4 linked regions of the Elephas maximus indicus genome follow. The protein of the gene in region 3 purifies or fractionates together with the protein of the main gene of each other region. This does not show direct contact. Links are inferred from orthologs where the notes say so. Each region holds a gene or a part of one and is shown on either strand. Other genes may lie near its edges.

Evidence for each region.
Region 1: the proteins of FBL (region 3) and SIRT7 purify together in Homo sapiens (affinity purification with mass spectrometry; 3 studies listed by BioGRID, with this or other methods). This does not show direct contact. The link is inferred for Elephas maximus indicus from reciprocal best matches to the Homo sapiens genes FBL and SIRT7.
Region 2: the proteins of FBL (region 3) and SNU13 purify together in Homo sapiens (affinity purification with mass spectrometry; 5 studies listed by BioGRID and IntAct, with this or other methods). This does not show direct contact. The link is inferred for Elephas maximus indicus from reciprocal best matches to the Homo sapiens genes FBL and SNU13.
Region 4: the proteins of FBL (region 3) and NOP58 purify together in Homo sapiens (affinity purification with mass spectrometry; 7 studies listed by BioGRID and IntAct, counting the BioPlex papers as one, with this or other methods). This does not show direct contact. The link is inferred for Elephas maximus indicus from reciprocal best matches to the Homo sapiens genes FBL and NOP58.

Annotation. Positions count from the first base shown.
Region 1 is NC_064837.1:71,705,598-71,712,700, forward strand, and holds the start of SIRT7 (NAD-dependent protein deacetylase sirtuin-7), read right to left. Parts: upstream 3,004-7,103; 5' UTR 2,974-3,003; coding exon 2,881-2,973; intron 2,810-2,880; coding exon 2,672-2,809; intron 2,346-2,671; coding exon 2,241-2,345; intron 576-2,240; coding exon 505-575; intron 390-504; coding exon 317-389; intron 1-316. UniProt on the Homo sapiens protein: NAD-dependent protein-lysine deacylase that can act both as a deacetylase or deacylase (desuccinylase, depropionylase, deglutarylase and dedecanoylase), depending on the context. Specifically mediates deacetylation of histone H3 at 'Lys-18' (H3K18Ac).
Region 2 is NC_064822.1:185,823,437-185,830,641, forward strand, and holds the start of SNU13 (NHP2-like protein 1), read right to left. Parts: upstream 3,020-7,205; 5' UTR 2,907-3,019; coding exon 2,904-2,906; intron 1-2,903.
Region 3 is NC_064829.1:111,675,932-111,683,341, reverse strand, and holds the start of FBL (rRNA 2'-O-methyltransferase fibrillarin), read right to left. Parts: upstream 3,012-7,410; coding exon 2,940-3,011; intron 2,636-2,939; coding exon 2,476-2,635; intron 1-2,475.
Region 4 is NC_064824.1:101,105,860-101,113,638, reverse strand, and holds the start of NOP58 (nucleolar protein 58), read right to left. Parts: upstream 3,019-7,779; 5' UTR 2,800-3,018; coding exon 2,755-2,799; intron 1-2,754. UniProt on the Homo sapiens protein: Required for the biogenesis of box C/D snoRNAs such as U3, U8 and U14 snoRNAs. Part of the small subunit (SSU) processome, first precursor of the small eukaryotic ribosomal subunit.

The sequences.
Region 1 (7,103 bases), on a different chromosome or scaffold from region 3:
GCAGCGCCCCTCTTAGCTGGGAAGGAACTCGGGGCTCCAGTGAGGCAGACGGCGGGGGTCGCTCTGCCCAAAGTGCACACTCTTGGGTCACTGTCTCAGATCCCTCCAGACCCAGGTGAAACCACCCTCCCCCACTCGTTGTGAACCGCCTCCTGTGACTAGGGCTGTGTCTGAGGTTTGCGAGGGTAACACAAGTGAGCATGAGGACAGGGGCCATAGCAGCTCTGGGACTGAGGCCATTAGAGCAGAGGAGCCTTGGCCGAAACTGGCCTTGCTCCTCCCCAGGCTCCTGTGTGCTGCCCACCCATGTGCTTACCAGCTTCTGCTCATGCAGGCGGGCAATGCTCATGTGCGTGAGGGTCGGGTCGGCCTCGCTCAGGTCAGTGGCACTGCCGGGTCAGGGGAAGAGTGAGGTGAGGGTGCTGCAGGGTCAGGCTGCTCTGCCCTGCCCTCCTCTCTTGCTCAGTGGCCCCGGGGTGGAGTGGGTGGCTGAGGTCTGCTTACCTGATACTTCTCCCTTTCTGCAACAGCGTCCACACTCCATTGGGGCCCCGATAATCTGGAATGGAAGCCGCCTGCATGTCCAGAAAGAAAACAAGTCTGGTAAAAGGGTCTCACTGTCGGGACCAACTGAATTTCCAAGAACACGAAGCAGGCGTCTCTCCTGCCTCATTCAGGGCCAGCCCATGACTGCCTGTTCCCCTACAGACCCAGCGCCTGACCTGCCTGACGGGTGTACCACCCGTGGCTCCTGCCTTCCCAGACTCCCCCTTCCCCACTGCACCCAGCTTATCCTTCAAGGCTGGAGGAGGCCACCCACTCTGGGAGTCCTTAGCACCACCCACAAACCTCTGCTGTATTGCCATGTCTGCCCTCCACATGGTGGGAAGCACTGCTCAGCTCCTCTGAGTGTCCCCAGGCTGAGCCCAATACTCAGGAAACACCAGCAAGTGGGGGACCCCTAAGTGGGAAGGCTCTTCTGTCCAAATTCTTACACATCTGATCCTTTTATCTCTAAGAGGCTCCTGTTCTACTTTAACAAAACCAGGACAATCTCTCCAGATGAGAAGAAATGCTAGTTTGTTTCCCAAGTTTCCGGTACAGGAAAACGAGCCTATCTGAGAGAAAAGGACAAAGAAGGCTGCCAAAACCCAGGTGCCTGTGCTCTCCGGGCTGAAGGACCTGCCTTCCCATCACACTAATGAGCAGCACCTGGCTTTTAGGACCACTGATAGCTCTCCAAAAGGCCACAGTCCTGTCTTTCAGTAACCACATGACTGAATTGTACATTTGACTGGTAGGGAGGGGGGAAGCCTGACTGCCTGGGCTCCAGGTGCTCACAGGTTAGATCACCGAGAACCTTCCACATTCTCACTACCCCAGTTCAAGGCCACCTCTCCCTAAAAGCCAACCTGAGTTGAGTTTCCCCACTCCCTGACCCCACCGAGTGCAGAGCCTGGATTTGTCACATCCCCCTCACACATTCAACTCCACGTTACCACTGTTTGTTTACACGCCTTGTCACATTAACAACAGGTTTCTCAAAAAACAGGAATCAGTTGGTGTTCACCTCTGTGGGGTGACACGTGCCTGACGCTCAACACAGAACCATCGTATTAGACAGAGTATGTGCCAGTCACACTTCCAAAGCTAGTCATGTCCCACAGCTCCTCAAAAAATCAGGATTCGCATCCTTACAGTCTCACTTTCTATTTTCCTCCAACGTGTAGAAACCACGAAGAAGCCAGGTTCAGGAGTCAGCTGCAGGGGTAGCTCTGCCTACATGACCGTGGGCCAACGGGTTAACCTCCTTCACCGCAAATGAGGAAGTACCTGCAAGCACTAAGCTGTTATGTCCTGTTTTTTCTCCTCTGCTTTTCTTGTCTTTAACCAGGTGTAACAGAGTTCCAGCATCTTTATAGTGTTGGGAGTTTTATGCTCCCTGTTAGGCAGTGCCGTTTGTATTTCTCTAAGAAAGGAAAACACTTTACAGCTGTTCTATTTTGTTTTTCACCCCAGTCTACAGTGCTGAACTCTGTTCTGGGGTGCGTCACCCAGAAGAGGGCGCCCCATGGCCACCCCTGGGACCGGCAGCCACGTGACCCATGGAGCGCGCGCTCTCAATTTCTCTGGGGCCAGGAAAAGTCCTATGAGTCAGAATCGACTCCACGGCAACGGGTTAGGGGAAGAGTCCGGAGGGCGTGGGGTGACCCGGGGCGCAGCTGTTCACCCGTCCCTACCGTGCTGATCCCTGCGCCTGTGTAGACAACCAAGTATTTGGAGTTCCTGACGGCGCTGGCCAGCTCCTGGACTTTCCTCCGCAGCTCTTCCGGGTCATCGCATACCTGCGAAGACGCCGAGACTGGTCATGGCCCTATCCTTCGCTCTTGCCCCCCACCCCAGGAGCTGAAAAAGCCGGGCCAAGCAATCCCAGGCAGATGACAGCTACGGCAGGAATGCCGTCTGAGACACGCTGGGAACGAGGCCTGACACGAAGCACGCTCTGGACTACGAAGCGCTCCCATTCCTCCGATCCACGCCGGCACCCACGTTTGCTGTCACCTCAGGAGAGGCGACGGGGCATCGGGCCAACCGAGTGGCCCGGACCGGCCAGCGCAGAGCGAGAAGCACGCCCTCGGAGCGCCGCGCCCGTCCGGCCCGCGGGACTCGCCTCCTCCTGGCGCCGCTTCAGGCCCTCGCGCCGCCGGCTCCGGCCCTGCAACTCTGTCACTAGGTCCTCGCTCTCAGCCAGCAGCCGACCTTCCTCTGCGCTGCGCTCAGTGACCGCCTTCCTCAGGATGCGGGACACCTGCGGACGCGTGGGCGAGCGGTCAGGGTCGCGTGGGGCCTGGCCCGGGCGGGGCGCGGGCGGTGGCCTACCTGGCGGAGGCGCTCCCGCTGCTGCTCCTCCCGCAGCCTCCGGACTCGCTCCGCCGCCTTGCGCTCGGAGCGGCTCAGACCGCCGGCTGCCATCGCTCCCCGGCACCTGCGCTTCCGCTTCCGCCTCGCCGGCAGCCTCGTGCCAGGCGCATGCGCGCGTCAGGCCCCGCCCCTTCCGGCCCCGCCCCATCAGCCCGCACCTTCCAGCCCAGCCGCAAAGAAGCACCTGCCAGTCTCTTTAAAAGGTGTTTATTGATCATATACAAAATAAAGAAAACCTTATATATCACAAACATACACTATGTACAGCAATAAATACCCGGGGGGCCCGGCCCAGCGCCGCCCCTCCTGGACAATAATTTAGCAATAAATACTGCGCAGGGCGGGTGGCGGCCGCAGGCCGGCCGCTGCCCCGAGCGGCGGCCCCACGCCCGGCCAGCCCAGCCCGCTCTAACCCCCACCGTCCCGGCCACAGCACTGGGCAGGGTCTCACCAACTCCCTCCGACCCCTCTCAGCGCCACAAGGGCGGCAGAGCCGGACACCAGGCAGCCCTTGTCCTGTTGCCCTAAGTTGCCAGGAGGAGCTTTCTGTACCCACTCCCGTTTGGTTAAAGGCTTCGGGACTAAGCAGGGTGAGGGATGTGGAGGGGGCGGGGAAGGGCAGGAGGTGGCTAAGGGGGCCAAAACCCAACTGGCGTCACCCAGAACTGGGAGATGTCATAGTCCACCGGGCTCCGACCCACAAGACACCCAGTGCGTAGAGGCTGCTACTCCTAGGGGTGGGTAGAAATTGGTGCCATTGGCACTCAGGTGCCCCACCTGCCCAGGACACATACTACATAGCAGAACAGGCTATAGGCAGTCCCGCGGGCACACTCCCACCTCCGCATGGCACCCACCATGTCCTCCACACTCCTCGGCTGCTCCAAAGCCACTGATAGCCAGCAGGAAGAAAACAAGCAACACAAAGAATTATTCAGTGGCTTCTGGGGGGAAAAATCGTTAATGTGTTGGTTCCTTTCACCAAACCACAGCCTAAAAAAATAACTCACAAGATCCCAGAGCGGAAACAGCCCTGCAGGCTGTGGCTCGGCTTTCCAGCTGCAGACAGGGAGCTGTCGAGAGGGAGGTACAGCCAAGGGGCCACTCCAGAGAGGCAGGCAGCAAGGCAAGACAGGGCCTGACCAGGTATCCCAGGGCAGGCTGTGGCTAGTCAGTGCTATGGCCAGGCACTGAGACCAGAGGATGCTGACAAGTGGGCAGACCTGAGGCACGGACCCAGAGCAGAAAAGCCTCCAGCCTCCAGGGAGGGCAGGTGCCCAGCAAATACACCAGTGCCACACAGAACCACCAAAGAGCAGCAGCTGGGGATGGGGAGGCCCTGTGAGGTCAGACACTTCGAGCAGAGCTGGCCTGTTACTTCAGGGTTGTTTTCAGAAACCCGAGTGTCCATGTTGGGATAAGGGTGCAGCTGGGGCAAGTTCAGGGTCAGAAAGGGATGCGCATCTTGGTTTACGTAGCGGACAAGTTTGAAGACTTGGCCTCGGCCCAAGCCTCGACTCGCTGTGTCAGGAAAGTTCAGGAGAGAAAGGAAAAAACAGAACACAACACGTTCACGGTAGAAAACTCAATCAACAAAGGATTAGACAGACACAAAACAGTTACACGTGGACACGGATCTAGTGCCAAGAAACCAAGGGAAAAGGGCAGAGGGGCAGAGGGGCAGAGCAGCCCCTTAGGGCTGGCTTGGCAGGACGGGAAGGCTCCCGCAGACCCAGAACAGTGGCTTCAAGTCCAAACACCATGAATGCAAGCACGGCATTCTCACGATGTCACTCACTCCAGAGCAGCTTCTTCCACAGGCTGAGTTAAGGACCGGTACCTGCTGCCACAATGCTCACCATCAAGCCCTTCCTCGCCTCACCCACTTCCTGCCTCTGCTCTCCCAGCTGGCCGTATGTGGCCTGCAGAGGCACTTAGAGATAGACGACAAGCTCCCACGCCAATGACAAAAGTGAGAACAGAGCAAGGGAATGGAAGGTCTGTCCTCCTCGCTCCACCACATCACACCCTCTCTTTCAGGCTCCTGGTGATACAGCTGGAACTCACTGCTACATCACCACCCTGGCAATGCAGCCTGGACCCGAGAGGGACAAAGCCCGACGCCAGGGAGGGCTTAAACCATGGAGGGACTTGGAGTCACAGAGCTGTTTGTGGGCCAGCCAGGAGCATCTGAGCAGAGCCCCAGAGAGGCTACACCATGTATGGCACGTGCCTGCCACGACCGCAAGCACGTGTGTGGCCACACTCGCTGACAAGACACCACTGCCTCAAGGCTGTCCCGGGTGCCCGCCTCGCTTCTTACTCTCCTCAGCAACCCTCACCTGTATTCTCTAGCGCTCTGGAGATACGGGCCAGCAACCCTGGGAGAAGCCAAGCCCCCGTGGCCAGAAACAGAGCTGCAGCATCTCAGGCCATGCTGTGAGCCGACCCAACACACCCTACCAGGAGCTTCCCGTACCAAGGCTGGAGGGTCATCTGCCCGTCCAGTGGCCAGCATGGGGAGGCAGCAGCCCTGGCTTGAGCGGAAGTGCCTCTGAAAGCCAAGCAGCTGGTCCCTGGAAGACAAAGATCCCAAAGGGAGGTGGAAGAAGGGCCTGGAGCTGAGAGCTGTAGGCCTGCACAGGGGGAGGGGGGAAGGGCCCAGCGTTGAGGTCATAGCCCTTGCTGGCACTGATAGAGACCCGCTCCCCAGGCCCTTGGGGCGAGGCAGGGATACGAAGAAGCCCTGCTCCTGGGGAAGCACCACCCCAGCCCTGAAACACTTCTGGGACAAGTGGGCGGTGGGGTCATAGCCCCCCGTGTTGGCCCAGCAGCTGACAGAGGTCACGAGGGAAGCCCAGGAGCAAAGCTGAGGCCAGACCTGTGCTGCTGATAAGAAACAATGAGGAAGACAGATGGGGCAGCTGGGCCACACCCCATGGGCACCCACAGTGACTCCTGGGTCCCTGCCAGGCCACCGCCCAAGGCCAGAGGCAGTGGACATGGAGGCAGTACGGGAGGCCACTGAGAGGCCCCCAGTTCCACCTGCCCTGTCACTGGCCCAGCCCAAGTCCTAGAGACACAAACGCACTCTCACACACACGCACACGCAGGAAGCTGAGGGTCAACAGGGGTGGGGAGCAGAGCCCAGTGTCTGCATCCAACATACACCTAGAGCAAGGCCAGGCCACCAAGGGGTACAGGGTAGCGTGGGAAGAAGGAGAGGCCGTGCTGCCCAGCACCCTGGCCCGGCAAGCCAGCAGGTGCAAGATCACAACCAAGTCCCAAAAACAAACACGGGGGAACAGATACGAGAAGTGACACCCACAGGTCAAAGGTCACCAGAAGCACCAGCACGTTACGGCCACACAAGACCTCACCAGGCACAACAAAACCACGGCACCGGCAAGAGACGGAAGCAGATAGGGCAAGGCCTAAGTCACTTTCGGTACAATTGCAAAAGAGATATCAAAGGGGACGTTAGGACGCGCCTGGGGGGGTTCGCGGTTTGGCTTTTTTTTTTTTTCTTTTTTCTGTCTTTTTTTAAACTAAGTTTTATAAATAATGTCTGATAACTCTGTGTTTATAAAAACTAAACTCCAACAGCCACAAAGAGTTGTCCATAAATTTACAAGAAAGGGCTTTTTTTTTCTTTTTTTGAACTACCAAAGCTTCTGTTACGCTTTCTTCCCTTTTCCACTGACAGGGTCAAATGCTCTTCTTGCCTTTTTTTCTTTTTTTTTTTTTAAAAAGACAGTTTTATAAATACTTTGCAGCTTTTTTTTTTTCTGTAGCTTTTAAACATATAATTTAATAACTTCGTAAAAGGAACTTACTCTCTCTTTTCAGGGCTATTTAACCACACAAACAGATCATGTAAACAGTGACACAGGACCCACCGAGAGGATACACTGGACACACCCTTCACAGACGCACACAACCAGTGATTTTGGTCTCATTCAGTGCAATACGTTAGGTCCGAGCGCTGCACCTGTGGCCCACAGCCTCACCATGTCCTGGCTGCTGGGCCCAGCTGGGCTCAGCCCGCAGGGGCCTCACAGGGGGCACACCTGCTCTTCAGAGCGGGGCCAAGCTGCCCGCGGGTCTGTCTAGAAGGAGTCACGCAGCGCCCCCCTCCAACCAGTGGCAGCAGTCAGGGGCCTCCTACTGGAGGGCCCCTA
Region 2 (7,205 bases), on a different chromosome or scaffold from region 3:
TTATAATTTATTTCATCCATGAGTTATTTAATACCTTCATCTCCAAACCCTAACTTCTTATTTCTAACTTATTTGCATTTTGGTTGAGAACATGGTCTGTATTATTATCAGTCTTTTAAAATGTATTGCAACTTGCTTCATAGCCTGTAAACCTACTACCATCAAGTCGAGTCTGACTCATAGCAACAGAGTAGAACCGCCCCACAGGGCTCCCCAGGCTGTAAATCCTCATGGAAGCAAACTGCCCCATCTTTCTCCCTCGGAGTGGCTGATGGGTTTAAAGCACCAACCCTTCAGTTAGCAGTCAAGCGCCTAACCACTGCACCACCAGGGCTCCTGCATGACCTACTAGGTGGCCAGTTTTCATAACGTTCCTTGCATGAAAAGCGTCTTCTATAGTTGTTGCCTGCAGCGTTCATTTACTACATCCCCTATGTCCACTAGATCAAGTTTATTCACAGCATTGTTCAAATCCCCTATTTCACGTTTTGTCTGCATGATGTATCAATCACACAATTTAAAAAAATCTCTGCAATTGTGTATTTGTCCTTCTTGTACTTGTCAGTTTCACTTATTTGTACCATATTTTGTAGCCACCCTCCATTTTTACTGATGCCTTTTGCCTTAAAATCTCTCTCTCTCTCTGATACTTATATAAAAAAAAAAATTTTTTTTTTATAGGCTACAAAAAAAACCCCAAAAACCCAAACCCATTGCCACTGAGTCGATTCCGACTCATAGCGACCCAACAGGACAGAGTAGAACTTCCCCATAGGGTTTCCAAGGAGCGCCTGGTGGATTCAAACTGCCGACCTTCTGGTTAGCAGCCATAGCTCTTAACCACTACACCACCAAGAGTTTCCATATAGGCTACACTACACCTTATTTTTAATTAGCATCTATTTTCATTCTTGTCATTTGCAACCTTTCTGTATCCTTACGTATTAGACGGATCTCTTGTAAACTGCATATAATTGGGCTTTTCTTTTTTAATTTAAACTGACAACCTGTCTTTTATCTTAAGCATTTAGACTCTGTATTTAAGTACTGATATACTGGGTTCAAATCTTCCCTTTTGTGCTTCCTATTTGTCCCACTTGTTTCTTTTTCTTTCTTTCCTTCCTTTGGAGTTATTTTTTTTAATATTTCCCCCTCTACTGGTTTGGTATGTTTGTTCTTTTGGTAGCTACCTGAGAAATCACAACGCATCCTTAAACTGATCAAAATTGAATACCTCCTCCCAAACCATAAAGAACCCAACAACACTTTAACTCCACACACTCCTCATATATATATACATATATATGTATATACATACACACACGGAAACCCTGGTGGCGTAGTGGTTAAGAGCTACGGCTCCTAACCAGACAGTCGGCAGTTTGAATTCACCAGGCGCTCCCTGGAAACCCTGTAGGGCAGTTCTACTCTGTCCTATAAGGTCGCTATGAGTTGGAATTGACTCAACAGCAGTGGGTTTGGTTTTTGGTTTTTTTATTTATACACGCACACTTCAAAAAAAAAAAAAAGCCACTTATTTCTAGCGTGGCTTCCAACAATTCATCTCTGGAAAGGAGAATGCTCAATTCTCAACAGTAACTGCAAAAACGGGTACACTTCCGGAGCCAGGACAACCACTAAAGAGGACTCACCTTATTGTTTCCATATTAATTCACTTAAAAAAATAAAGTCAGGCTCAACTTTAAAACCAAACTGCCTAGCTTGTAAATACTAAGTGAAACTTGCTTAGTGTAGTCATTCACCTTTTAATTCTCTCATGTGTTAGTTAGGAGCAGAATTAAATGAACGAATGAAATCATACCCCTAACTCAGTTAAGCTTGGTTAGTTTGGTCTCCCTGGACACCAGACAGCCCAGCCCTGCAAGGTTCTAATCTAACACCAGACCATGAAATCAGGAGCAGATGTTTAACATGCATTAGCTATCTCAGTTAATCCTCACAACATTCTCAGGCACTGTTAACACGATTTTACAGTTGAGGAAAACTGCTGCGAAGTTCGACCTGAGACCGTCTGATTTCAGAACTTTTCACAGAGCTGACAGCACGATGAGCGCTGGTTTGTAAACTTCAAGCTCTAAGCTCGGCCAAGTACAAGCTTTTAACTTGCGGAGGGGGGAGCGCGAGACCGGGGGCAGTCTCGCCGGGCTCCGGAGCCCCGTTAAGCGGATTAAACCTCATCATGAAGTGTTTTGCAAACACTTCCTTCCCTTCCAAGTGCCAACCAAAACTAACAACCAGGATACCCGGTTTCCAACTCTCCCTCGACGACTAATTACAAGAGTTTAATGGAGCCGCACGTGGTCCCACCAGGGCCTCATTTCTGAGCCGCCGCCTCGCAAGGGACTTTCCTGCTCCCCATGCCCAGAATCCAAGTCACTCCAGTCTTCCCCCGCTTCAGACGCCCCTTTACTCCCCAGCACGTGTCACTCGCGGTAGGGACAGGGGCAACCACGAACATCTCCCTCTCGGGAACCCCAGCCATGGGAGCGGGTGTCTGACAGAACCCCAGGGCTCCACGCCATCTTTTAGAAAAAAGATACCAAAAAAAGGAAAAAGGGTGGAACCGGCTTCTTCCGTCAGCCTTTCTACCCTCCCCCACGTGGTCTGGTCTCCTTCCCCGAAGCCCAGGTATGCCCCCGACTAATGCTTAGGCACTTAGGGCTTCCCCAGTTCTCACCCCGGGCCGGGCGGCTGGGATCACGCGGCTGCATGAAGTCTAACCCCGGGCCGGGCGGACGAGACGGCGCACGTTCTAAGCCTGGGCTGCCGGAGCCCCAACCGCGGGCCGGGAGGGCGACGGGGCGCACGTTTTAGGCCCCCGACAGGCCAGCGAGTAAACCGACCCCGAGTCTCTCGATTCCCGGCCCAGCGAACGCACTCACCATGGCTGCGGTTCCGCGGTCTCGTCACTCCTGGAGCAACGCGGCCAAAGCCTGAGCAGAAGCGCTCGCCTCCGCCGGAAAGCTGCACGGAGGAGCAGAAATGGCCGCGCAAACCAGGAAGCGGAAGTAACGTCACAGTGGCGTGGCGGACATCGCAGCCCGTCGGGGGACGTGGGCGCAGAAACGGCGTCAGTTCCGAGTCGGGAGCGGCTTTCAGCTGTTACAATTCTCTACCACCTGTCAGTTTGTGGTGCCCCTGGCTTGCTTGTTGCTAGGATGCTGCAAGCTATCCCACTGGTTTTTCAAATACCAGCAGGATCACCCATGTGTACAGGTTTCAGCAGAGCTTCCAGCTTAAGACAGACTAGGAAGAAAGGCCTGGTGGTCACAGACAAAAATTAGCTAATGAAAACCCTACGAATGTGATCATGGGAATGGCACAGGACGAGGCAACGTCTCCTTCTGTGTATTTGGGGTCACCATGCGTGGGAGCTGACTCCATGGCGACTAGCATTATCATTCTACTTAAAGGAAGAAACAATGAGTTAAACATTAGAAGAAAAAAATGCACTAAAACAAAGGGTTTCAATGGTGTCATCACTCCGTTGCTGGCTTTTTTTTTTTATATAAACACATTTTTGTTGTGCTTTCAAAATCATCGTTCTAAATACACCAGCGAGGGAAGTGTATTGACATAATTATGAGTAATCCTAAATGTTTCCCTTCATTTAAAGCTATGTTTTGTAAAAGTTTCTGGTGGGGAGTGGAGTTGGGATCCACTGAGCAGGGAATTCAAGAGGAAGAGCAGGTTTGGAGGATGGGGGTTCAGCTTGTGTCAGGCTGAGTTTGGAGATGTCTTATGACCTCTCTTTCTCATGGTTAGCATCTCGCCCTTTTCTCTTTGCTGCTCCGAATCTCCATTATGTTGGGTTAAACTCATGCCTCACTACATCCAAGAGGTTCTCTCTGATCCTTCTGGCCTTTCTCATACCTCTACTATTTGGTTGAAGCCAAAACTAGGACATTTTGGGCTAGTTCCCGTTAATGCCTTTGAAAACTGAAAAGTTGAAACCGGGCAGGACCCTTGGGAATCATGCAATGCAAACCTTTCATTTTACAGATGGGGAAACTGAGGCTCAAAGTGGGGAATCTGCTTGTCCATGGCCACAGAGTGAGGTCGTGGTAGAGCCAGAACTGGACCTTGGCGTTTTTGGCTCCTGGCTTCGGTTACTTCCATCATATCTGTTTGCTCTGCTTTATCATATTACGGGATGGGACAACAGGAAGGGTTTGAACTGGCTCCACAACCAAACATTTTTTCCATTAAAGAGTCCCCATCAAACTTCACCTCATGTAAATCTGAGATGACTTGTGAAAACATTGTTTGCAAATTAAGAAATGCCCATTGATAGCTCCTGTTTAAGGATAGAACCTGTGACTTGGACCCTGCTCCGCAGCTCTGTTGGATCCTGTTTCATGTTTCCATGTCAACCGGACTTAGCAGCCACCACTGTTGGGGAAGGAGACATTCTAATTTACAGCCGTAGATGTGTCCTTAACATTTGCTTCTTAGATGTCTTTTTATAACAATTTCTCATTGTTAATTTTGCCTACCTGGCCTCTTGGACCATCATATCCCAGATCTCGGTAACAACTGATATGGAAAGATGTTTTTATGATCGTAAGTGATGACACAGTACACTTTACCTAAGCACCTGATGAATTTTGTTTCCCACCTGTATAATAATTCAACTTCCATGTTCTCTCAGAACCAGTCCATCTTTTTGTTTCTTGGTAAGTCCCTTGCCTATTAAGTTAATATATGATGACATATGTTCAGGATCAATTTGTTTTAGAAATTTGTCTATTACCGTAGAAAACCAAACCAGTTGTCTTTGAGTTTGTCTATTACCATAGAAAACCAAAACCAAACCAGTTGTCTTTGAGTTGATCCCAACACATGGTGACCCCATGTGTGTCAGAGTAGAACTAGGCCCCAGAGAGTTTTCAAATGGCTGAGTTTTTTGAAAGTGGATTGCCATGCCTTTCTTCCAAGATGCCTCTGGGAGCAGTAGAACCACTAACCTTTTGTTACTATCCAAGTGGTTAAATGGTTAATGTGCTCAGCTGCTGACCAAAAGGTTGGCAATTTGAGTTTTTTTTCAGAGGCACCTTGAAAGAAAGGCGTAGTGACCTACTTCCAAAAAAATCAGCTATTGAAAACCCTGTGGAGCATAGCTCTACTCTGACACACGTGGAGTTGCCATGAATTGGAATTGACTCAACAGCAACTGTTTTTTTTGTTTGTTTGTTTTTTTATTCTTGAATTCTAAATTGCCATGGTTTACCAGTGCCCTCTCCACCAGTACTCTCCCACCCTACTCCCATATTACAGCCCCACCCATCTTCTTTTGCTACTGCAAACCCACCCCATTCCATTCTCTCCAAACTGACCTGTCACCCTCTGCTGGGAGTGATTTGCTCCACTGTCCTGGCTTGGCTAACTCCTAGTGGCTATCCCTCCAGTGGAGCCTCCTGATTACCTAGACTGGGCTAAATGCCCCTGCTGGATGTTCCTACAAGCCCCAGTACTTGTCCTTTGTAGCACTCACTTGCCTTGTCTTGATTCAGTCCTGCCTTCCCACGCACACTGAGAGCTCAATGAAAGCAGGGCCTGCAGCTACCATGGGCACTTTAGATAACTGTCCTGGCAGCATGCCTCTCACAAAGGAGGGACTTGTTTCACTTAGGGATCTTTGGGGGCAAGCAACCAAAAAGAGATTTTGATGAAGACTCTGTAATGGATCTCAGAGGTTCAAGGGGAGCTGACTGTGAGAGCTGAATCAGTCCTACAGTTGGTAAATAGCTGATGCCCCTGCCCCGGGGCCCCAGGGACCACTCACCATCCAACAACTGAAGGATTAAGGCCTGGCCCATTCTTATCGGTCGATGCCTCAGCCTGCTCAGTTACCCAGCATTTTAAATATAACTTTTTGGTGGAAGACAGTCATCAGGATAACATGTACTCTCTCACCAACACTCTTCCTGAGATGGGAAAAGTAATTCCTCAACAGGAAATCAGGATACGGTAGGAAGGGATGCTGGGTGGTCAAACAAGAACGTTGTTGTTGGGTGCCGTGGAGCTGATTTCCGACTCAGAGCAACTCCATGTGACAGTGTGGAACTGCCCCATAGGGTTTTCTCGGCTGTAATCTTTATGAAAGTAGATCCCCAGGTCTTTCTTCCACGGTTCCAACCTCTCAGTTAACAGCCAAGTGCTTAGCCATTGAGCCGCCAGGACTCCCTGTTCAATACAGTGTTGGTTAAATTTTTGATAATGGAGAAGCAGATGGACAAATGGATGAAAAGCACTCACAGGAAGAAAGAAATCAAGCAGACCACAGGGTACATCACCCCATCATACATGGTAGAAACTTAATCTCTTCACTCCAGAGGACAGGGATCTTTACAACAAGTTTGTCTTCCCCTTAACCCCTTTTGGTCAGTGTGCCAACACTGTTCTCACCTGCACCCACGCCCAGTGGCTGGAGCTGAGGCGGGGGCACCATGCTCCTTTGTGAGGTGGCCTCAGTGACAAGGGTGCTATGAGGCGGAGGCTACTCCACCCCAACCTGTCTGGGTCAGCCAGACAGGTCCTGCCCTTCAACTCCCCAACACCACCTGCCTGGCCAATGCTTTGCCATGTTGCTGCCACTGCTGGGCGCCTGTGCCCTGGTGGGACCATTCCAGGGTCCGGAGTGGGAGCCAGTGCGGAGCCTGCTCTCCCAAAATGGCAGCTGCAGGGACCCTCGGTGCCTCGGCAACCTACTTGTGCTTTGCCTCTTTCTGATCTGGCAGGCCCAGCACTATTGGCACCAGGTCAACAAGACCCGCCGCAGCCTAAGGAAGGCCATCAAGGTGAGGGGGCCCCAATACCGCCTTCCTACTTCCCTCAGCACTGTGTTTGTCTCAGCCACTCATTACCAAGACCCTGTCAAAACCAAACCCACTGCAATTGAGTCAACCCTATAGAACAGAGTAGAACTGCCCCATAGGGTTTCCAAGGCTGTAATCTCTATGGAAGCGGACTGCCACATCTCTCTCCCACAAAGCAGCTGGTTCTGTGCCCTGTGCCTTTCTGTTAGCAGCCAAGCACTTAACCAGTGCATACCAGGGCTCCCTCAAGATCCTGTAAACAAAAAACCAAACTCGTTGCCCTCTAGCCGATTCCGACTCATAGTGACCCTATAAGACAGGGTAGAATTGCCCCATAGGGTTTCCAAGGAGTGGCCGATGGATTCA
Region 3 (7,410 bases):
TTCTGGAAGTTTGTTTTTTTTTTGTAGAGGGCCCTTCCACAAATACACTGGTTTCAAATCAGCTCTCCTCCCACAGCCTTCCCCAGTTCAGCAAACAGCAACTCCATCCTTCCAGTTACACAGGCCCAAACCCTTAGCTATCCTTGACTCCTCTCATACCCTCCATACAATCTGTGGGTTTCTACCTTGAAAATATATTCCCAATCAGTCCCACTGCTCGGCCACGTCCACTGCTAACACTGCTTCAGGCCGCCACCATGTCCTTCCTTCAGGGTTACAGTAGCAACCTCCCACTGGTGTGCCTGCTTCAACTCTTGCTCCCTTCTAGTCTCTCTTCCACACAGAAGCAAGGCCAATCCCTTAAGAAATACTAATCAGACTGTACCCCATCCCTGCTCAAAGTTTACCAAAGGCTTTCTCTCTCACTCAGATTACACTCTTACTAACAAGCTGGCTCCTGACAACTTCTACAGCCTCACATCCTACCATACAAGGCGGAAGAGGCTGGGCTGGGGTAGAAAGTGTATCCACCATTTACAGATGACAGGATGCCTGCAGGCATGCCAGAATCTCACTGAGATGCCTGGCCTAGCACCACCCCCCAATCCACCCCATCAGATCCCCAAATACTAAGAAAGGGAGTTTGGGAGGGGAGCATGGATCCACAAATTTCCCCCTTCCCAGATGACACCATCTCCTTGACATCCAAAAAAAAAAAGGAAACAAAAAGGAAAACCTGTGCTTAAAACAACAAGAACAAAAAAAGGGCCCTTCTGGCCATGGGTAGGAGATTGATCAAACCCAGTGAAGCAAGTTCTCTCATGGGGGGAGGAGAAGGGGGATGGGCCTGAGGGGAGGGGCAGAAGCTGAGACAGCAGGCATAAGGACCTGTTATGGATTTAAGTGCGTCCCCCCAAATTGTGTGTTGTAAATCCTAACCTCTCTACCAATGCTATAATCTCATCTGGGAATGAGATGTCTTTGCTATGTTGAGACAGGATTAGTGTAGGGTGTGTCTTGGGTCAATCTCTTTTGAGACATAAAAGAGCTTCAGCAGGAGAGAAGCAGAAATGGGGGATGAGAGATGCCAAGCCACATGAAGACTGCCCAGGAGCAGAAGTTCAAAGAGACAAGGACCTTCACCGCAGCCGACAGAGAGAGAAAACCTTCCCCTAGAGCTGGCACCCTGAATTTGAACTTCTAGCCTCCTAACCAAAAAAAAAAAAAAAACCTGTTGCCATGGAGTCAATTGCGACTCATAGCCACCCTACAGGAGGAGCAGAACTGCCCCATAGGGTTTCCAAGGAGCAGCCGGTGGATTCAAACTGTGGACTTCTTGGTTAGCAGCCGAGCTCATTAAAGCCACCCACTTGTGGTATTTCTGTTATAGCAGCACTAGATAGCTAAGACAGGACCCTAATTTTATTCTCCTTGAGAATGGTAACAATGAAAGCCAAGATACCAACACTAAGCAATTATGCCAAGCGTTGTTTCAATTTTACAGGCTCTCACTTAATCCTGACCGGGCGTAATTTTATTAATGAGAAAACCGAGTCTCGAAAAAGTAATGCCATTTGCCCAAGGTTACACCAAGAGATTAATAAGCAGAGCCAGAGATGAAACCTTGAATTGAGGCCTGTCTGCTGTCAAAGCCAAGACTTCCACCATTCCATCATGAGAAGCCGTGATGGGTTCATCAGAATTCGGGAAAACCGAATGAATAAAACCATTCTCTGTGACTAGCTCCTGTTCCCCGCCCCTCCCACCAGTTTTGGTCTTGTGGAGTTTCACTTCACCGCGGAGTTGGGAATCAGCAGGCCCACAATCTCCCCTCCATCCCCAGCCACCGGCTCTCGGGAAGACTAGAGAGCGGGAAAGTGACTCAGAGCGGGCTGCAGACTATCAAGCCGAGCGGAGATCCTCATCCACTCCCGGCGCTCTCCGAGAAGCCGGGTGGGGGGTCAAGGGGATGGTGGGGGCAGACAGAGAAGGCAAACGGAGAGCCTCCCACATCCAGCTCCCGGACCCAAAATCTGAGACTGCCCATCCCCGACCCAAAACGGATCCCCATAAACCACGCCCAGAGAGAGCCAAGACCTCAGGTGTCTGCATCCAGACTGAGCCAAGCGGCGCCCCCGGTCCAACATCCTGGACGCCTAATGACGGTCCGAATAAGGCAAATCCCAGTTCAGGACCCCCCAACCCCAGGCCCAAGACCCTCGACACAAGCTCGCGACCGCCGAAGCCAGTCCCAAACCCCACACCAGGAACCCGCCCCCCGGGCTCAGGATTGATCCCAGGGAGGAACCAGGCTTCCCGCCTCACACAAAACCAGAACCCCAGCCCCACACGAGACCGGATCCCAGGTTCAGAGCCCCTGCCCCCACGCCAAGGCCCCGCCCCCCAATTCCGGTCCGGCATCCCGACTCCAGCCCAGTCCCAGTCCCCGAGCCCAACCCCAACCCCGGCCTGCACCTGGCCTCATGGTGAGCGCTGAACTGCGCGGCTCCCAAGTCTGCGGCGACCCCGACTCCACGCGTCTCTGGCTTTCGCACGTGGAAAGGAGCGCAGGCGCGCGGCGACGCACGGTGGTGACGCAACCACGCTGCCCCGCCCCTCGGGGCCTCTGCGGCGCCTGTGGCCCGGCGCGCGCGCGGTGGGCGGGGATTCCCCAGGCTTCTGGCGACGACGCGCTCTTTGCTCTCCAAGCCTTTGCCTGTGATTACTTCCCTGAACAAGCTTGCTCCATCTGCGCGGCGAGCATCTCCGTAATCAGGACTCAAACGGAGACCTTCGCATGGACTGTGGCCTCTGCCCCTATTCCTAGCTCACTCTCTGAGGTTCCCCTCGACACCCAAAAAGCCTTCCCTGCCCAATTTCCACCCTCAAGAACACGGACCCCCGTTCGTATATTTGAAAATTGTGATCCTTGTATGTACCTGGGACGGTTCCAGGCTCTGGAAATTCAACAGTGAACAAAACATCAGAACCCCCGGCCTCCTGGAGCTCATCCTCGGGGTGGGAAGCGGTGGAAGGAGCGGGGACAGACATCAAACAAGTTAGTAAAACATGTTGAATGTTAACCAAAAATCAAACTTGTTGCCGTCTAGTCGATTCCGACTCAGCGACCCTATAGGGCAGAGTAGGACCGCCCCTAGGGTTTCCAAGGAGCGGCTGGTGGATTCGAACTATCAACCTTTTAGTTAGCTGCGAAGCTCTTAAGCACTGCACTACCAAATCTCAAAAATTTCAAAAGCTACCAATAAATCTGCCTGCCTTGGCTAACAACACAAATGTTAGCAGGCAATAAATGCCTTGGAGGAAATACGGACTGTTGGAGTAATATTTTTATAAGATGGTCAAGGAAATAAATGTATCTGTGACTTCTGAGTAAGGACCTAAAGGAGGTGAGGAATGAGGGACACACCTGTTTGGTGAAGGAGTTCCAGGCATGGATGTACCGCACTTTAACAATTCACCTGTTGAAGGGCATGGAGATTAATTCCAGTGTGGGGCTATTACCACTAAAATTACTATCCAGTTCGTCTACACGTTTTTCTGTGCCTACACGTTTTCATTTCTCTGGAATAAATGCCCAAGAGTGCAATTGCTGGGGCATATGATAATTGCATTTTTAATTTTATAAATTACTGCCAAATTGTTTTCCAGAGAGGCCGTACCATTTTACATTCCCACCAGCAATGTATGAACAATCCAATTTCTTAGCATTCTTGCCAGCATTTGGTGGTGGTACTATTTCTTATTTTAGCCATTTTGATAGATGTGTAATGATACCTCATTGAAGTTTTGATTTATACTTTTCCTGATGGCTAATGATGTTGAACAACTTCTCATGTGTTCATATGCCATCTGTATATCTTCTTCCATTAAATGTCTTTTCATGTCTTTTTCTCATTTTATAATGCCATCGTTTTTGCTTTTCTACTGTTGAGTTTTGAGAGTTCTTTATATATTCTAGATACTAGTCCTCTGTTGGGTATATGGTTTGTAAACATTTTCTCCCAGTCTGTAGCTTGTCTGCTCAGCCTCTTCACATGGATTTTCACAGAGTAAAATTTTTAATTTTGATGTGGTCCTATTTATCAAATTTTCTTTTTATGGATTATAATTTTGGTGTCAAGTGTAAGACCTCTGTGCCTAGCCCTACATTCTAAAGATTTTCTCCTCTGTTTTTTCCTAAAAGTTTTATGTATTTACATCTTACGTTTAAGCTTAAGATCCATTTTGAGTTAATTTTTATATAAGGTGTGAGGTTTAAGGTTAATTTTTTTTTTTTTTTTTGCCTATGTCTGTTCAGTTGCTCCAAAACCAGTTGTTGAAAAGGCTGTCTTTTCTCCATTGACTCGCTCTTGCACCTTTGCAAAAACTCAGTTGAGCATATCTGTACCATCTATTTCTGAAGTCTCTATTCTGTTCCGTTGATCTATGTGTCTGTCACTCTGCCAACACCACATTGCCTTGATTGTTGTGGCCTTCATATCAGGTACAGTGCTTCCTCCCATTTTATTCTTCTTCAGAAAAATTATTTTTAGTTATTCTAGGGCCTGTGGTTTCCATGCGAGGTCCCTGGGTGGCACAAATGATTTGCACTCGACTACTAACTGAAAGGTTGGTGGTTCAAACCCACTCATTGGTGCCATGGAATAAAGGCCTGGTGAGTGACTTCCATGAGGATTACTCTATGAAGCAGGTCTATTCTGTAACACGTCAGGTTCCTGTCAGTTGGCATTGACGTGACAGCAGTAGGTTTTTTGATTTTGGTGCCTTTCCATATAAATTTTAGAGTAAACTTGTCTATTTCTTTAAATAAAAAAACCTTAATAGGTGTAAGAATGGCATCCGGGCATCAAATCTCCTCGTCTGACTTCACAAGGAGGCAGGTAAATCATTATCAGCATCAACAGCCAAGGGCTGTGAGGTGGAGGTCAGACGTGCCTCCACCCACCAACATTTGTACCAATTCTGACGCCAGCTGTCCCTCCCACGGCGCTCGCTACTTCTCTGCTGGCTTCAGTAATTCATTGCAATGGCCACACAGAACTCACAGACCATACTCACACTTACGGGCTTTATTAGCAAAGTAGCAGGTTACACTTTAAGTGTTGAAAAAACGTTTTAAAGATATCACCTTGAGGACTAAAGTGCACCTGACCCAAGCCATGGTGCTTTCAATCACCTCATATGCATGCGAAAGCTGGACAATAAATAAGGAAAACCAAAGAAGAATTGATGCCTTTGAATTGTGGTGTTAGAGAAGAATATTGCTTATACCATGGCCTGCTGAAAGAACTAACAAATCGATCTTGGAAGAAGTACAACCTGAATGCTCCTTAGAAACAAAGATGGCGAGACTATGTCTCACATACTTTGGACATGTTATCAAGAGGGATCAGTCCCTGGAGAAGGATATCATGCTTGGTAAAATAAAGGGTCACTGAAAAAGAGGAAGACCTTCAACAAGATGGATTGACACAGTGGCTACAACAATGGTCTCAAGCATAGCAACAATTGTGAGGATGGCGCAGGATCACCCAGTGTTTTGTTCTGTTGTGCACTGGGTTACTACGAGTTGGGACTGACTGGACGGCACCTGACAACAACAATCATTTTGTAGGCATCACAAAACCATGGAGAAAGAGGCCATATAAAAGCAGTTCGTTGCACAGCAATAGGATAGGGGATAATTGACATCTTTATTAGTGCCACGGTAACCGTGCTGGTCTAATGGTTAAGTGCTACGGCTACTAACCAAAAGGTTGGCAGTTCACATCCACCAGGTGCTCCTTGGAAACTCTATAGGGCAGCTTTACTCTGTCCTGTAGGGTCGTTATGAGTCAGAATCAACTTGACAGCAACGGGTTTGGCTTGGTTTGGTTTTGGTTTTATTAGTGGTGCAGGACTGGGCATTGTTTCGCTGTGTTGCATATAAGGTTGCCGTCTTGGTTATCTAGGGCTGCTATAACACAAAAACCACAAATGGATGGCTTTAACAAAGAGAAATTTATTCTCTCACAGTCTAAGAGGCTTGAAATCCCAAGTCAGGGTTCCAGCTACAGAGGAAGGCTTTCTCTCTCTCCATGGGCTCTGGCGGAAGGTCCTTGTCACCAGTCTTCCCCGGTTCAGGAGTTTCTCAGCACCGGGACCCTGGGTCCAAAGGACATGCTAATCTCCTGGCTCTTATTTCTTGGTGGTATGGGGTCGCCCTGTCTCTTTGCTCACTTCTGTGTTTTATATCTCAAAAGAGGTTGACTTAAAACACAACCTAATCTTGTAGAACTCAAATTGACTACATCTGTGGAAAGAGACAATGGAAAAGCTCAATATCATCAGTTAGAACAAGGCCAGGGGCCGACTTTGGAAAAGACCATCAATTGCTCATATGCACGTTGAAGCTGAAACTGAAGAAAATCAGAGCAAGTCCACGAGAGCCAAAATATGACCTTGAGTATATCCACCTGAATTTAGAGACCATTTGAAGAATAGATTTGACACATTGAACACTGGTGACTGAAGACCAGACGAGTTGTGGAATAACATCACGGACATCATCCATGAAGTAAACAAGAGGTCATTGAAAAGACAAGAAAGAAAGACCAAGATGGATGTCAGAGGAGACTCTGAAACTTGCTCTCGAACGTCTAAAGCAAAAGGAAGAATTGATGAAGTAAAAGAACTTAACAAGATTTCAAAGGGCCTCTCGAGAAGACAAAGTATTATAATGACATGTGCATAGAGCTGGAGATGGAAAACCAAAAGGGAAGGACACGCTTGGCGTTTCTCAAGCTGAAAGAACTGAAGAAAAAATTCAAGCCTCGAGTTTCAATAGTGAAGGATTCCATGGGAAAATACTAAATGACGCAGGAAGCATCAAAAGAAGATGAAAGGAGTATACAGTCATTATACGAAAAAGAATTAGTCAATGTTCAACCATTTCAAGAGATGGCACGTGATCAGGAACCAATGGTACAGAAAGAAGAAGCCCAAGCTGCTCTGAAGGCATTGGTGAAAAACAAGGCTCCAGGAATTGATGGAATATCAACTGAGATGTTTCAACAAACAGATCCAGCGCTGGAGGTGATCACTAGTCTATGCCAAGAAATATGGAGGACAGCTTCCTGGCCAACTGACTGGAAGAGATCCATATTTACGCCTGTTCCCAAGAAGGGTGATCTGACCGAATGTGGAAATTATAGAACAGTATCATAATATATCACGCAACCAAAATTTTGCTAAAGATCATTCGAAAATGGCTGCAGCAGTATATTGACAGGGAACTGCCAGAAATTCAGGCCGGTTTCAGAAGAGGGTGTGGAACCAGGGATACCACTGATGATGTTAGATGGATCCTGGCTGAAAGCAGAGAATACCAGAAGGATGTTTACCTGTGTT
Region 4 (7,779 bases), on a different chromosome or scaffold from region 3:
TAAATTTCACTAAAAGGCATCAAACTGTGCATTTATAATGGGTGAATTATAAAGCATATAAATTATACCTCAATAAAGCTTGAAAAAATATATTGCTCAGTAAGTTACATATGAACGTTTTGTACATCAAAAGTATCTTTTCCCAAAACTTCGAGGAAACAACGGACACATGATGGATGACAGGCTACACAGCTCCACTGTTCAATGTAGCTATTTAGATTTAAATAAAATAAATTTCCTCAGTCACTTTAGCCACATTTCAAGTGTTCAACAGCCACACGTGCCTAGTGGCTACCATAATGGACATCACAGCCACAAAAGGTCTGAGATGAAGTAAGACTAAAGGATGTCTTGAGTCTTATGTTGTGTTCACATTATGACAACTGACCCAAATCGAGTCTTTGCAAGTCTAGAAATAACTACAATAGTTCCTTTACATATTCAAGCCCTGGTGGTGCAGCAGTTAAGCGTTTGGTTGCTAACCAAACGATTAGCAGTTCAAATCCACCAGCTGCTTCTTGGAAGCCCAAGGGGGCAGTTCTACTCTGCCCTATAGGGCTGCTATGAGTCGGAATCAAATGGATAGCAATGGGTTTTTTGGTTTTACATATTAATGTGACTTTACTTTCATATATAACCTAGCTACAGAGTAATCAATTGTCGAAGGTATTTAATTATTTTGAATCACACTGTATATTATACGGATATGTATGTGTACACTGGGGCCATGATATAAAAGATATTCTTTACTGTGAATCAAGATAAAAAAAAATCTGGAAAACACCTTAGAGCATTTCCATAAAAGCATAAATTTTATGCAACCAGTATAATTTTAGTTGTACAACTATCACCACAATCTAATTCCAGAATATTCTGTATGTCTCTTTTTACTCAGAATCAAGTGGTAAATACTATAATTCCAAACTATAAATGAAATAAAAATTTCAATATACTCAAGCCTGACAATTTATTTCTCTAATTATGAGACTATATAAACAACTTAATTTTGAACTGTAACTGAAAACAGCAACAGAACATTCAAGACTTACTTTGTGGAGCAGGATACTCTTCATTAACAGAAATTATTAAATCATCAAGAGACAAAGTTGAATGCTTTATGACCCCTGTCTAGAAACCAGTCAATTTACTGCTAGGCCAATTCCTTCCTACATTTGGAGACAAGTTGACTAATGAGGAGTTCCTCTAAGCATCCAATTCAGAATTGTATACATAATTGTTTGCAATGAAAGTTCATCAACATGCCCTGATTCAGAATTTGACAGACCCTACTGGCTAAGAGAATTTGGCTAAGAGAATTTGGGGTATGTTCAGAACTGTACTTAAGAGTTTAGGAAATATTTTAAAAAGGTGGGAAAAACAAAATAGAGATGTTCTAGGACTTTAAAGTGGAATAAGGGTCTCTTAAAAGTCCATTAAACTGCGAATACTGCAATTACAGATAATCCCAGTGACAGGAAAAACATGCAGTCACCTTTTGGTTTTTTATTATTATTTTATTAAAAAATAACAAGTATTTGATGTAACAAATGCAAACTGAAGTGTATTTTCAAATTCCGGGAATAGAGAACTAGAAAGCGAAAAGTTCTCCGTTCCCACGTATTTTGGTATATACTTTTCAAACTTTCTGCGTCCATACAATATACATAGAAGCGTTTCTTGATTCACAACTGGAATCGCACTTATGTATGTCTTATCTAGGACTTTCTGCTTTATATCAGTATATATCAACGTAGCATATATGTGCAAACTTTGCTGTGGTTAAGAGCTACGGCTGCTAACCAAAAGGACGGCAGTTCGAATACACCAACCGCTCCTTGGAAACCCCATGGGGCAGTTCTACTCTTTCCTGTACGGTCGCTATGAGTCGGAACCGACTCAACCGCAATATTCAGAGCAAAGTGCCTGGCACTTGGAAGGCCCTCAGTCTAACCTCGTTCTTCTTATTCTTAGCATCTCCATAGTTTTCCACTGTACGAACGTCCCATTCCTGTGCTGATGAACACGTCTCAAATTGGTATCACCAATCCAGATTTCTCCCCTAAACGTCGAATTTGAAATATCGAATTGCTGGATCTACGTAACAACTGCACTTCCACTTCTAACAGATCGCCAAAGCCAGAACCCTTTAGTGCCCCTGAACCGCCCAAAACCCACAACTTTGTTTCCCTTCCAATCTTTCCCACTTCGGTAAACGGCACCACGGTGCACTCACTTACTTAAAACAAAAATCCACTCACTCCATCAGCAGTTCTATCTTCTAAACTTCTCTCGTTGTTTCCCTCCATACCAACCTTAATTCAAGCCATTTTATCTTGTTTAGATTAATGCAAAAACTTCCTTGCTTCCTTTACTGCTCCCTGTAATCTAGTATCCACACAGCAAACATACTGAAAGATAAATTAGATCAGGTCTTTCCTTTGCTTAAAACCTTCCAACGATTTCTGAAAGCACTCAAAATAAAATCAGAACTCCTTATCATAAGATGAAAAGCTTGGATAATACCGCTCCTGCCCACCTTTCCAACGCGTCCAACCCGCCCAAACGGCGGGGCCACGTGTTCACTGGAACATGGTCCACCCAAGCCTGAAGTCTTTCCCTTCCTTTCAGAGCCTGGGCACATAAAGGCACCCACGCAATCCTGAACAGTCTCGTCCTCTCTTCAGGTCTTTCGCTCCCTCGCCTGCCCAACATTGGCCTTCTCTCTCGTTTCTCCAACGACCCAATCTCACCTACCTTAAAGATGGCGTACCCTACAGACGTTTCAAACAGCACCAACATGGTGAGGGCTGGTCAAGGAGCCGCGCGGCCCACCACGAACTCCGATATCGGTGGAAAGAGGCCAATCTGCAGCCCCAAAGACCCGCAAGGCCGCTGCTGGAAATGCAAAGGCGCGCACACCACCACCCAAATTCTCAGACCACGTTGTCTCAACGTTCCACACTGTACTGCAGATAGAACACAAGAACGCGCTTCCCCCTAGCAAAGGTTTCTAGGCTAGCGACGTCACTGCCGATTGGTCCGTGTCGTCACTTCCGGAATGTTCCCGCCGAAGGGGGGGTGGGGGGTGGGGTCATGAAATTATCGCGAGATTTCATAGGAGGCGAACGGAGTTTTTTTACGGCTAGGTCGTGTGGTAAAATGAAGAAAAAAGCTTCGTTTAATTTTTTTACCTCCATAGGTGCTGTATTTTACCTATAGAGGAGTGCGAGGCTACGTCGGCCCTACCTGCCTGGGGCGTCTGGAATTTAGGAAATGCTAGCTAGTGCCGCTAGACTTTACTGTTTTTCCCTGCCTTGAATTGAAGGTCTCATCACTCTTAACTGTATTTGCGAGCACTCCCGGCCGTTCTCTTCTCTCTGGCTAAACTAATTTTCAGCGTAGATTTCTTTCAGATATAAAGTGGATCTCTCCCCATTTTTGTTGCATTTGCAAAAATTACGTAGGGTATGAATTTAGACCTAGCCTCCTTGTCTTAATGTAATTTAGTAACTGGACTTAAATATCCCAATTCTGTTTTCCAATAGGAGTAAAATTTCTTTCCTCACTTCCCAGGCCCCATATGCAGATTGTAAACATTCGATTGTAGCCTGCTCAAGGTTATACAGCACTAAGTGATGTAATTTTCCCCTATAACTGCAACCTGGAAGCAAGAGGAAAGAAAACCTGGGTTGAAAACAGAAAAGAGGGATGAGGCAGGATGAAGGGAGAAGGGGATCTAGGGTGCACACAAGAGCATTGCTGATGATGGCCTCTTCAGAAAGGCAAGAAAAATTAAAATGGTTTGACTAGGGGAGTGGGGGTAGGGTGGATGAGGTGGAAGCGCTGGGTCTTTTTGAAGTGTTATATAACTTCAGAGTATGTTTCTGTCTAGTCTCCCTAGCGGAAGTGCCATATGCGAGACAGTATAGTCTGTATCTTAAACACACTTGTATCTATACAGGGTCTTACACTTGTAAAATAGAATCTCGTTAAGTAATTCCACAAAACCCACTGCCGTCGAGTCGATTCCGACTCATAGCGACCCTATAGGACGGAATAGAACTGCCCCATAGTTTCCAAGGAGCGCCTGGCAGATTCGAACTGCCGACCTTTTGGTTAGCAGCTGTAGCACTTAACTACTACGGCACCAGGGTTTCCCATTAAGTAATTATTAAACATTTATTGATTAAATGTCTACAGAAAGTAAAATTGTTTTCCTTGTATCTAAAGCCTTGCAGCCTTTACTCAAAGGCAAATGAAACTAACCCTTATTCAATGACAAATCACTTTACTGTGGCATCTCCTTGAAGTTGTTCTTTCACTTTGCCATTTACATAATCAGCTCAATATGATGTATTAGTCAGGAATTCAGAGCTGCTTCTGATACTGGATTTGGATCTTGGCCAATAATTGTCCGGGAATTCCTTTCTGCAAGGGAAAAGTCAGAGCCTCAATATTAAAGAAAGTACTAGGTCAAGGGGAGAAAACACAAAGCAGTGTGAGGAATAGGACATAGGGTATAAACAACCAGAGGGCTTGTATTTTTAGTAGTGGCTGAACATTGTGTAATGACAGGGACAAGAAACATGGCTCTCTTGTCCTCTCCCCACCCCTAAAGCCCCCACTCTTTTTCCAAACTAGAATACAAACTTCATGAAAGTTCACTGCTGGAACCCCAGCACTAGGCTAGTGTCTGGCACATAGTAAGGGCTCCATATATGAAGGAATGAATGAATGGAATGAGGCAATGATGGAGTTAAAGTATTTCAAGGTGCTAATAAAACAGGGCTAATTTTGTTTTTTTTAAAGCCATTTTCTTAAAATTTTTGTCTCCTCTGGACAGTCCCTCACCCAGCCCATTTCCTGAAATTGTTTTTCTCCTCAGAACTTCCTTGAAAAGAAACAGCAACCAGCTAGCTGGAATCGGCTGAAACAGGTCCTGCCCTCCAAACTGGCACTCTAGGTAACCTTTAGGTCGTTAATTGTCTCAGTCCCCAGGTCACGGGAGAGCTGACATGCTAATGAACAGAAATGGCTAACTTCTCTTGCACAGGGAATCCAACCTAGGCCCTAGAAAATGCTTACACATTCTGGAATGCTCACCACCACCGCACATGCCATCTTGTATTTTGTAAATGATCTTGCCTATATAAACCAGCCTCAACAAGCTGCCTGCTGGAAGTCCTGGAAGGCACTTAGTCCCAACGGTCTGGCACGTTTTCAGAACAGCAACACCAGTCAGTATTTGAGTGATTGTAATGAGCCTCATTTTAAATTAATAAATTAACATTCTCATCTATGTAACAACGGGTATGTTTGTTTGTTTTCAGTGCCACGATCACACAGCCTCCCTCGTTGTTCCCCAGAGGTTGGGCATGGGGTTTTTCGTTCTCACACAATCATTGGACTGCTGCCCACAACTCTGTCTTCCCTTGCTCTGGCATAAGCTAGTGTTGCAGTCCCTCTGATCTGCTGATTGTTGCCGCTTTATTGAACACATGTATTGTCCACGTCACTGCCCACCTTTTCTAGACCACCAAGAAAAGCAATTTGAGGAACACTAATTTAAATGATTTTGTGATATTGTTTTAAAAACAATCTTAAAAGAGAAGTAAAGTGAACATTAATTTTGTAAAGTAAAGCTATGAACTACTTTCAGTAATGGGACTAGACCTACTGCTGTGGGCAACTGTAAAAGCTGGATAAAATATTTCTTAAAAATTGCATGAGGTCCTCTAAAAGTTAACAACATAATGAAGAAGCCCAAGATTTTGGAGAGCAGGGGACTCCAAGGAGATGAGCTCAAAATTTGGTGCCACTTTTCCCCTTGTGGCATTTGTCAACTACAGAAGAGGTGGCTAAGAGGCTGAAAAGTGCTGTAGGGGGCACGAGTTGAACACTGGATCCATCAAGCATGGAAGGCCTAGCAAACCCCTCAAAATTTGGAATGGAACACCTAAGAGTTGCACCCTAAGACTAAGGGTGTACCAGAAGGAAACCAGCAATACAGAGGATCGGGAAGGCCAAAAGTTGGTTCTTTGATATTACTAATAAAGTTAATAAACTCTTGGTGAGACTGTTCAAAAGAAAATAGAGAAGGTACAAATAAGCAATATTAGGAATAAAAAAGGGAACATCCTATTGATTCTACAGACATTAAAAAGATAATAAAATGTTTATATGCTTTATTACTTGCTGAAGTCCCTGGGTGGTGCAAACAGTAAAGGCACTCGGCTGCTCACCAATAAGTTGGAGATTCAAGTCCATGCAGAGGTTCCTTGGAAGAAAGCCCTGGCAATCTACTTCTGAAAAATCAACCATCAAAAACCTTATGGAGCACAGTGCCATTCTGACAAACATGAGATCACCCTGAGTCAAAACTAACTTGAAGGCAACTGATGCTGGTTTATACTTGTTATGGATTGAATCATGTCGCCCCAAAATATCTGTCAACTTGGCTAGGCCATGATTCCTAGTATTGTGCAATTGTCCACCATTTTGTCATCTGATGTGATTTTCCTATGTGTTGTAAATCTTACTTCTATGATGTTAAAGAGGCAGGATTAGAGGTAGTTATATTAATGAGGCAGGACTCAATCTACAAGATTAGATTGTGTCTTAAATCAATGTATTTTGAGATATAAAAGAAAGAAATAAGTAGGAAGACATGGGGACCTCATATCATCAAAATAGTAGTGCCCGGAGAAGAACTTGTTCTTTGGACTGTGCTGAAAAGCTCCTGGTTCAGGAGAAGATTGATGATAAGAACCTTCTTCCAGAGTTGACAGAGAAAGTCTTCCCTTGGAGCTGGAGCCCTGAATTTGGACTTCTACCCTTCTAGATGTGAGAAAATAAACTTCTGTTTGTTGAAGCCATCCATATGTGGTATTTCTGTTATAGCACCACTAGATAGCTAAGACAGTACCAGTGTATAAGAGTTTCAGGGTAACAGTACCAATGTTATTATTGTTATTAATAATGTTGAGAATTTAGCTTAATTAGTAAAGAATGTCTGCCTTGAACATGGTGCTCTTTTAAGGTCTGTGTGGGATCAACTTGACAACAGCAACTCAAAATATTAGATAGGAAATTTAAGGAGCAGTGAGTTCATTTTAACAGAGGAAGAACAACTTGGAAAATGAGAGTGAGAACGGTTGTACAACTCAAAGAAAGTAATAGATGTCATTGGATTGTACATGTAGAAATTGTTGAATTGGTGTATGTTCTGCTGTGTACATTCTCAACAAGAACAAAAAATAAAATAATTAAAAAAAAAGTTGGAACAGTTGAAAAGCTGAATTCTTTTTGTCTCCAGATTATATCTCGTTAGGGATGTACACTCAAATTACTATATTTGGATCATTTCTCATTAATGATTAGACTACTAATTTCATCCATAATTAGGATCAAACTTTTTATTTCAGAGGGAAAAGAGGGGATATATGACTGTCATTATGTTCCAAATTTGTAGGACAAGTTATATAAGATACACTGACTTAAATATTGTGTTTATCGATATTTCTATTTAATGTTTCCCCTTGGAAAGTTCATGTATTCTTTTAATTCAAATTGGCCATTTTCTCTTTGGTTTCCAGAAAAATTTACTCTGACTTTAGTCAGTTTTTAAACAATGATTATTTATGGATTAGTTGATATGAACACAACATAATATTGAATTCAGAAACAGAAACTAAATCAGTTTCATAAATCACTCCAATGTGTATCTAAGTTGTATTCTGCTCTAAAAATCAAGTAGGAAAGCACCAGGATTAGAAGTCA